2 linked regions of the Callithrix jacchus genome follow. The protein of the gene in region 1 interacts with the protein of each later gene in a biochemical or structural test. Links are inferred from orthologs where the notes say so. Each region holds a gene or a part of one and is shown on either strand. Other genes may lie near its edges.

The links.
Region 2: of the proteins of BMP1 (region 1) and CHRD, one has a biochemical effect on the other in vitro, tested with the Homo sapiens proteins (3 studies listed by BioGRID and IntAct). The link is inferred for Callithrix jacchus from reciprocal best matches to the Homo sapiens genes BMP1 and CHRD.

Annotation. Positions count from the first base shown.
Region 1 is NC_133514.1:19,321,654-19,326,004, forward strand, and holds the start of BMP1 (bone morphogenetic protein 1), read right to left. Parts: upstream 2,946-4,351; 5' UTR 2,732-2,945; coding exon 2,584-2,731; intron 1-2,583. Other genes in the region: SFTPC (surfactant protein C), read right to left, coding at 4,075-4,215. UniProt on the Homo sapiens protein: Metalloprotease that plays key roles in regulating the formation of the extracellular matrix (ECM) via processing of various precursor proteins into mature functional enzymes or structural proteins.
Region 2 is NC_133516.1:13,356,598-13,361,110, forward strand, and holds the start of CHRD (chordin), read left to right. Parts: upstream 1-1,625; 5' UTR 1,626-1,634; coding exon 1,635-1,782; intron 1,783-1,973; coding exon 1,974-2,077; intron 2,078-2,522; coding exon 2,523-2,652; intron 2,653-2,808; coding exon 2,809-2,937; intron 2,938-3,028; coding exon 3,029-3,128; intron 3,129-3,253; coding exon 3,254-3,341; intron 3,342-3,701; coding exon 3,702-3,843; intron 3,844-3,945; coding exon 3,946-4,086; intron 4,087-4,167; coding exon 4,168-4,250; intron 4,251-4,327; coding exon 4,328-4,475; intron 4,476-4,513. UniProt on the Homo sapiens protein: Dorsalizing factor. Key developmental protein that dorsalizes early vertebrate embryonic tissues by binding to ventralizing TGF-beta family bone morphogenetic proteins (BMPs) and sequestering them in latent complexes.

The sequences.
Region 1 (4,351 bases):
ACCTCTCCAGGGTATCAAGGGTCTTAATTTTGCCCTTACTACAACGGCAATCATAACTCGGCCAGTAATGGCCAGAGGTGACTTCCAATGAAGGGAGCTGGCTATCCTCAGAGCAACCCAAGAGGTCACAGGTAAGCTGTGGGAGTCAAAGGAGCTTTCAGTCCCAGCCTTTGAAAAGAAGCAGGGACAGCCACGCTTGCCATCATCACCTCCAGCATCTGGAGGTCAGGGCTGCAGAGGGTAGAGGAAGCAAAGCCAGGAAGGAGAAGGCAACATGGAGAACAGAGCCCAGGGACTGGTGTCCGGAGGGCAGTAGCCCAGGGGCGTGGGTGTGAGCGCCTGGAAATGCCCATGTGAGTATCCTTCAGAGGTGGGCAGCAGGTCTCAAGCATCAGTCACACCTGAGAGGGAGGCTTGATCTGACGAAAGGCCTGGCCTTGTCAGGCTCCGGGGCCCTCTCAGCTGCCCCCAGGCCTGGCCCAGCGCCCCCTCCAGCCTCACTTCACCCGGTTGGAGTGCTTTCTCCAGAACCCTTACTCACAGCTCCAACTCAGCCAGCCCCACCTTAGCATGAAACCTGAGACTGGGGGGCGAGAGCCCTCAGCCTCCTACTGCTCTGAAAATCACTCCCATTTCCAACAAGAAGGGAAAGACATCAGAATGGCTTCCCACCATTCTTTAAGGCCTGGCCCCAGCCCCAAATCCTCCATGAAGACCCCACAGATCTTCCCAGCCTGCTGTGATCACTTTTCTCTGCCACCACCAGGCTGAAGACAGACAGGAGACTCCCTGAGCCTTTAGCGTCCTACCCTCCAACATGGCACTCAGTGTGGCTTGGTTTGTGCCGTTGATTATGTCTGTAGGTGTCTTAGGTCCCTACTGGAGCATAAGCTCCTTGAGGGCAGGGTCCTAGCTTGTACATCTCAGCACGTCCCACAAGTTCCATCCCAGGCCATAACACATATTATGTTTTGATGGATTGACGGATAAGAGGCACAAAGAGACATCAGCAATCCCACACCCCTCAAAAAAATGAAGTGAGAGTCTGAAGCACAGAAGACAAGGAGTAGGGAGCCCACATTTATTTAGTGCTGACTGTGTGTTAGGCACTAATAAGCGTTTTATGTATGTTCTCATATTTAACGCTTTCCACCAACTCTCCATTTTACAGGTGTGAGAACTGCAGTTCAGACATGATAATTACCACTTCCAGGTCGCACAGCTATCATGAGTGGCTGGGTCAGGATTGGAAGCTAGATGTGCCTGCCTCCAAAGCCCATGTGCAGTCCCTTCTGCCCTGTGCTCACTCCCAGCACCCAGCAAGAAAAATGACAGCGAATGTCCTGGTTTATGCTCAGCCCAACAGGTGTGGAGGGGGAAGGGCTGAGGCATTTGCCCTGATCTCCACTGGATGTGTCTCTCATTCCTGCCTGTGGTCCATCTTCCCGGGAGAGTCACTGAACAGGGTCCCCAGAGCCAGGATTAGAGCAGCCTGCCCCTCCGCCCCCTGTGCCCCATGCAGGCAGTCCGATTCTAGGATCCGTGCCACTTCCCCTGGCTCTGGCTATTTGGAGATGAGCTGAAGTCAGGCAGGAAGTCGAGGAAAAGTTCTGCTTTCTTGTCCCTGTGTGTTCCCAAACAGCCTGCTCAGGGTCACGCAATCGGGCAAATGGCCCGAGTGCCTGACCATCTGGTCACTCCAGGGACAGGACCCTCCTGGGCCCAGCAGGAGTGAAGGGGTTACATAGAGACAAAGAACACACACACACACATACAGGCAAACACACACTCCGGGGCCCTGACATCGGCTAATTAACCTCTGGTGTCTCAGGGGTGGCAGAGCGGATATACAATATCTGGGTTCTCTTTGTATTTTCCCTCTTTCCACCCCAACTTGGCCTTGGCAGGGGTGTCTGGGCACATAGGGGCAAAGGCAAGTCCCCCTTCTGGGCTGGCTTCTCTGACTTTGACAGCTGTCTCCTAAGTCCCAGAAAGCTGCAGCTACTGGTTAAACCACGGGATACCCAGAGAGCACGGTCTCAGGGAATCCCTGGCAAAATTTCTTTCACTTGGGCTGGGTGGTGGCCTCGGACTTGCTCCTTGGCGACTCAGGCCTCCCAGCTCCAGGCCGGACAGATGTGCAGCCCCAGGGCAGCCCACACAGGCTGAAAAACACCCAGCTCCTGGAGCAGGAGAGATGAGGGAGAAGGGGAAAGAAAACTCATGCACGCACGCACACACACACACACACACACACACACGCACAGGAGTTTGGCCGGAAAAGTTTCCTACAGAAGGAAAAGCAGCCTTGCCCGCAGGTTTTCCCGGGACCCAAGGAGACTTCCCCAGGAATCCTCTGGGAAGATGAGAGGCGGCGGCGGCAGCTTCCACCAGCAGCAAAACTTCAGTCCGAAAAGTCCCCCAAACCCCCCTTCCTCTCCCCCTCGTTCTTTTGTTCCCCACTGCATTGCCAACCAGGCAGCTCCCGGCTTCCCACACTGGACTGTCCTCCCCCAACCCCGAACCCGAACCCGCCCGCGCCTCCCCGCCTGGCCCGCCGCCGGGGGACCGGGGGGCGCTCACCCGCCTTGCAGGGGTCTTTGTAGTTGAGGGGCTCCGGGTCGTCCTCCTCCGCCAGGTCATAGGTGTAGTCGGCCAAGTCCAGCGGCCGGCCGGGACGCGGGAGCAGCAGCAGCCCGAGCAGCAGCGGCAGGCGGGCCACGCCGGGCATGCTGGCGGGGCGGCGGCGAGAGAAGCGGGCACTGGAGGCCAGGGGAGGGCGTCCCTCGCCCGCTCGCTCGCTCGATCGCGACGGCGACCGCGACCGCTCCCGCCCGCGCTCCCCGACCTCTTCCCCTTCCCTCTGCTCGCCTCCCTCCTTCCTGTCTCCCGCCCCCCGCTCGGCCCGCGGCTCCGCGTCGGTCCTCGGGCTCCAGCCGTCTCCCTCTCCCTTCCCTTCTTTTTCTCTCTTTCTTTCTCTCCCTCCCGTTCCGCCCCCCCTTTTTAGGGAAATGAGCTCGCTGGAGGGCGGGTTTTCGCCCGAGCTCGGCCCCCCTCGGGGCCGGGACTGTGCTCTGCCGGGCCGGGCCGCGCGCCAGCCGTGGCTGGGAAGGCGGGGAGCCGCGCGCCCGCGGAGGGGGCTCGGGCCGCCCGGGGCGCGGGCCGCGGGGCCGGGGCGGGAGCTCGGTCCCCCAGGGTGCCTGGCGGGCTGCCGCTCCCGATGTGCCCTCTAGCGGCGGCGTCCCCCGCGGACGCCCGGCCGAGCCCCCGCCCCGCCGCGGGACACGCTGTCAGTTTCTCGCGCCGCCCCTGCTCCTCGCCCCCGCCTCGGGTCGGTCTCTCAGCCCGCGTCTCCCTCGCTCCCCTTCTCGGACCCTCGCTCTCTCGCGTCTCGCTCTTTGCGCTCTCTCTCGCTGTCTCGGCGTCTCTCCCTCCTCCCGAGACGCCGCTGGAGGGCGCCGAAAGCCCGTGGATGGCTCCCGGCAAGTCCCTCTACCCCGCCGGGGTGGACCCAGTCCTTCAGTGCCCTGAGACAGAGGAAGAATGGCAAACCCCTCTCTGCTCCCTCAAGTCCCTTCCCTTTCTGGCCGGCCGCCGCCGGGGCAGCACTGCGTCCTGCGGGAAGATGGAAGCAGACCCTTTGCTTTTCAATTAGGCTGCTTTATTCTGTTGTGGCAGGAGTTCCCCGGCCCCTGGGCGCCACCTCCGCCCACTCCCATCCTCTCCCCAAATTCCCATTTCTCCAGGGCCTGTCCCCGCGGTGTGGGCAGAAGCAGCTTCTTGCCCGTCTGCAAAAGTTGCAAAAGACCCTTTTCTCTGGGCGTTTCCTGTCCCCTTGGGGCTTCCACTGACCCTGTGAAGCAAAGGAACGTTGAGGTTGGACAGAGGTTCCCGGTAGTGGGAAATACGGGTATGAGCCTCCCCTCCCCTGAGCTCCCTGAATGACCAGGCTTCAGTGGACGCCCCAGCGCCTGGTCAGCCTGAGCGCTCCTCCACTGCTCAGCGCAGGTGGCCCGAGGGCTCCTCCGCTGCTCATCAGGGTCCCTGGGATCACACCTGCTCACCTGAAGCGTTCTAGATGTAGTAGAGCGGCACCTCGCCACACAGGGTGCTCACAGCCATGCCCAGGAAGCCGGAGTCCCCTCTGGAGGGTGCTGAGCCTGCATCACGCCCCTCCTCCTGGCCCAGCTTAGAGGTTGGCATTTCGGGCTTGGCCTGCAGAAAGCATTCCATTTGGAATCTGGGAAGTGAGTTTCTATCCCATGTGCAGCCCGGATTGTCATACTTCAGGCATGTCAGGCAATCTCTCTGAGCCTCTGTTTCCTCACCAGGAAAGGGGGACTGTGCTGGA
Region 2 (4,513 bases), on another chromosome or scaffold:
TGCCTGTATAAGAGAGAAATCTCCTGTTACGGGTTGGCGTTACGGGGAAAGGGTTTAGATGGGTCAAGAGGACTGTCAGAAGTGTGTGTGTGTGTGTGCATGCATGCACTGGTTAAGCCTTGGCTGAGGTGCTGGGGTCCAGTGGCTTGGATGGCTACACGCAGACCTCTGTGCCCAGGGCCCTCCTTTGCTTGTTCTGTCTCCCTTCCATCTCCTACCGTTCCACATGTGACAAGAGGAACACCCAGGCCCGTGTGGCCCTGTCTTAGGAGAGACAGCTGCTGGACCTCCCCGGCAGACACCTCCCTGCTGGCTCCCCTTTTCCTTTGGCCCTAGCTCCAGCTCCTTTCGTTCTTCCCAGTCCCAGTCTCCCCACAGTCTCTGTCCTCAGGGGCTTCCTGGCCTGACCTTGTTACCATCATCCCCCGCCCCCCAGAACTTCCTCGGCCTCTCTCCCGTTCCTCCTCGCCAAGGATGGGCATGCCTGCTGAGAAGTGTGGCCTAGATCCTGGAATTTTCCTGCTCAGCCAGACGAGATGTCTCCTAAGATTAGGAAGGAGGGTGCTGGGACGCCTGGGAGGATGGTGGGTGTGTGTGGGTGGGAGGGACAGGGAGGCAGGCGCCACCACCGAACCAAGATAAAGGAGGTTGGGAGTGGGCTGGAGAGGCAGAGGGTCTCTTGGGTGAAGGAAGGGGGTGAGAAAGCAAGAGGGGACATTGGAATGGGTCTGAGGATACGTTACAATGAGAGGGAGACACTGTCACTCCACAGAAAGGGGGTAACAGCAGAATGAGGAGCGGCCTCAGAGAGGAGGTAAGGAGGCAGGCTAGGCAGTGAGAGGCTGGCGTGGGGTTTGAGGGGTGCTGTGGACCCAGGCAGGGGGGAGATCCGTTGATGGGGCTTTCTTGTACATTGTCATCTGCAAGGGCAAGTCTTCATCCTTCGGGCGGGCAGAACAGAACCGGGTCCTCGCTCACTGAGCGGTCCAGGCCTCAGGCCTAGCCTCTGCCCCTCCCTGGCCAGAGTCTCCCGTCCTGGGCTGGCCACCGACCTCCTGGTCCAGCCGCCCTGTGGCCGCCGGCGGGGGGGCGGGGGGGCTCCGGGCCCGCCTCTCCTCCCCCTCTTCGCGCCCCCTGGTCCCTCCCCTCCCCCTCCCCCGCCCCTCCCTCCTCCCCTGCCCGGTCCCAGCCCCTCCCTCCCCTCCCCCACCCGCGATCCGGGCCGCCGCCGCTGGGCCGGACCCCCCGGGCTCAGCCCGGCCCCTCGCCGAGCCGCCGCCGCCGCCCCGTTTGCTGAGGAGGAGGCCCCCGGCCGGGGCGTTGGGCGCGAGGCATAAAACGGGCCGGAGCCGGCGCCCGGGGCAGTAGAGCCGCGTACGGCCCGGGTCAGTGCCCGCCTGCCTGCCCGCGCTCCTCCCTGCTGCTCCTCCCGCCCCGCCCGGCCCGGCGCCGACTCTGCGGCCGCCCGACGAGCCCCTCGCGGCACTGCCCCGGCCCCGGCCCCGGCCCCGGCCCCGGCCCCCTCCCGCCGCACCGCCCCCGGCCCGGCCCTCCGCCCTCCGCCCTCCGCCCCCCTCCCTCCGCCCGCTCGGCGCCCTCCTCCCTCCCGCCTCCCCAGCTGTCCCGTTCGCGTCATGCCGAGCCTCCCGGCCCCGCCGGCCCCGCTGCTGCTCCTCGGGCTGCTGCTGCTCGGCTCCCGGCCCGCCCGCGGCGCCGGCCCTGATCCCCCCGCGCTGCCCATCCGTTCCGAGAAGGAACCGCTGCCCGTTCGGGGAGCGGCAGGTAGGTGGGCGCCCGGGGGAGGCGCGGGCGGGAAGTCGGGCTCGGGCGCAGGTGGCTCGGCGCGGCTGGCGGCCGGAGGGTGGGCGGGGGCCGAGGGGCGCGGCGCCCGGGACCTGGGACCCGTGGGCAGCCCCAGGGGCGGCACACGGCGCGAGCAGGGCAGCGGCCGCCAGCCAAGCCCGTCCCCGCAGGCTGCTCCTTCGGCGGGAAGGTCTATGCCTTGGACGAGACGTGGCACCCGGACCTGGGGGAACCCTTCGGGGTGATGCGCTGCGTGCTGTGCGCCTGCGAGGCGGTGAGTACACCCCGCAGCCGGTCCGGGCCCTGGCGGGCGGGTGGGGAGCCCCGGGGTGCGCGGGCGTCGGAGTGAACTCGGAGCTGCCGAGGAGGAGGCCAGTCGGCAGAGGTTGGGGGGCGGTTTCTGGTGGAGGAAGAGGAACCGGCCCCTTCAAGTCTTAGGTGCTGACTGTGACTGATCGCCCACCCTGCGCGAGGCTCTGTGCCAACTGCGTTTCGTTCCCTGCTCACCTAACTCCCCTGGCAGCCTTCCTAGATAGACAGTATTATTATTCCCATTTTCCAGACGGGGACCGTGAGGCCCAGAGAGGTGAAGCAGCTTGTGTAGGGTCACGAAGCTTGCAAGTGGCAGAGCTGGCAGACTCTGCGGGACATCCTTGCCCGGGGGTCTCACCAGCTGGCATCTTGCACTCACTTGGTTTTCCCGCCTTTTCCGGGAGCAGCCTCAGTGGGGTCGCCGTACCAGGGGCCCTGGCAGGGTCAGCTGCAAGAACATCAAACCAGAATGCCCGACTCTGGCCTGTGGGCAGCCGCGCCAGCTGCCGGGACACTGCTGCCAGACCTGCCCCCAGGGTAAAGCTTGCTCCGCCCTGCGGGGAGGGCTGCGGGCCTTGATGCTAGGTCCCGAACCACTTGGATGGGGCGGCAGACTGGCCTTTACCACGGGCCCGCTGAAGCCCGTGCTCCCCTCCCGCTCCACCCCCGAACCACCCCCCCACCTCTTCGCAGAGCGCAGCAGTTCGGAGCCGCAGCCCAGCGGCCTGTCCTTCGAGTATCCGAGGGACCCGGAGCATCGCAGTTACAGCGACCACGGAGAGCCAGGCACTGAGGAGCGGGCCCGTGGTGACGGCCACACGGGTAGGGGGCTGGTGGACATTGGGGTTGTGGTTGAGGCTGGGCCACCAAAGCAGCGTTTGACAGTGCTCAGGCCATCTTCCTCCTGTCCCAGACTTCGTGGCGCTGCTGACAGGGCCAAGGTCGCAGGCGGTAGCACGAGCCCGAGTCTCGCTGCTGCGCTCTAGCCTCCGCTTCTCCATCTCCTACAGGCGGTGAGAAAGGGGAAGGAGCAAGGAGGGGTCAGCTGCCGGCCGGCCGGCCGGGAGGGAAACTGGGAGAGCCGGGAGGAGGAGCTGCTTTTGGCTCTGACCGGCCTCACCCGACCTCTCATTCCCAGGCTGGACCGCCCCACCAGGGTCCGCTTCTCAGATTCCAATGGCAGTGTCCTGTTTGAGCACCCTGCAGCCCCCACCCAAGATGGCCTGGTGAGATGATGCCATTTGTGAGCACTGGTCCAGTCTGGGCACTGTGCTGAGAGCATTCTCTGCATTGCCTTCTGTGGTCCTCACCACAGCCCAGTGGGAAGAAGGCACTGACAGGATGATGTCCATTTTACAGACAGGGGTACTGAGGCTCAGTAGGAGGGTGGGATTCTTGGAAGTACACAGCTAGCAAGTGGTGCAGCCAGGGCTGGAACCCAAGCATCTGGCTCCGGGGTTCTTTCTTAAGCTTCCTAGGGCACCCTGGAGGCTCCTTCCCATGTTCCTTTTTCACCAGGCCTTGGCCTGCTAACTGGCCTAGCCAGCGCAATATCTGAGCGTAGGGCCCTCTTGTCTATGCTCCAGGTCTGTGGAGTGTGGCGGGCAGTGCCTCGCTTGTCTCTGCGGCTCCTTAGGGCGGAACAGCTACATGTGGCACTTGTGACACTCACTCACCCTTCGGGGGAGGTCTGGGGGCCTCTCCTCCGGCACCGAGCTCTGGCTGCAGGTAGGGAGCACAGAGCCCCGGGTGTGGAGCTCCAAGTCTTCTCTGTCCCCAGGAAAGGGGAGGGAGGTTTCTGACGGGCTCTTGTCATCATCCCTTCCCCAGAGACCTTCAGTGCCATCCTCACACTAGAAGGCCCCCCACAGCAGGACGTAGGGGGCATCGCTCTGCTCACTCTCAGTGATACAGAGGACTCCTTGCATTTTTTGCTGCTTTTCCGAGGGCTGCTGGAACCCAGGAGTGGGGGTAAGTGGGATGGGGGCAAAACATGTGAGAAGGTTAGGGAGAGCACCTGTCTCAGAAAGGCCCACATGTGCGGCCTTGCAGGACGAACCCAGGTTCCCTTGAGGCTCCAGATTCTACACCAGGGGCAACTACTGCGAGAGCTTCAGGCCAATGTCTCAGCCCAGGTGAGTGGGGACCTGGCTCTGGCCACCACTTGCTTTGGCCTCTTGCTATTGCCCATCACACCCTGCTCTGTCCCCAGGAACCAGGCTTTGCTGAGGTACTGCCCACCCTGACAGTCCAGGAAATGGACTGGCTGGTGCTGGGGGAGCTGCAGATGGCCCTGGAGAGGGCAGGCAGGTCAGGGCTGCGCATCAGCGGACACATTGCTGCCAGGAAGAGCTGTGACGGTGAGGCAGGGTGGGGCCTGGTGCCCTGGGCGTGTACA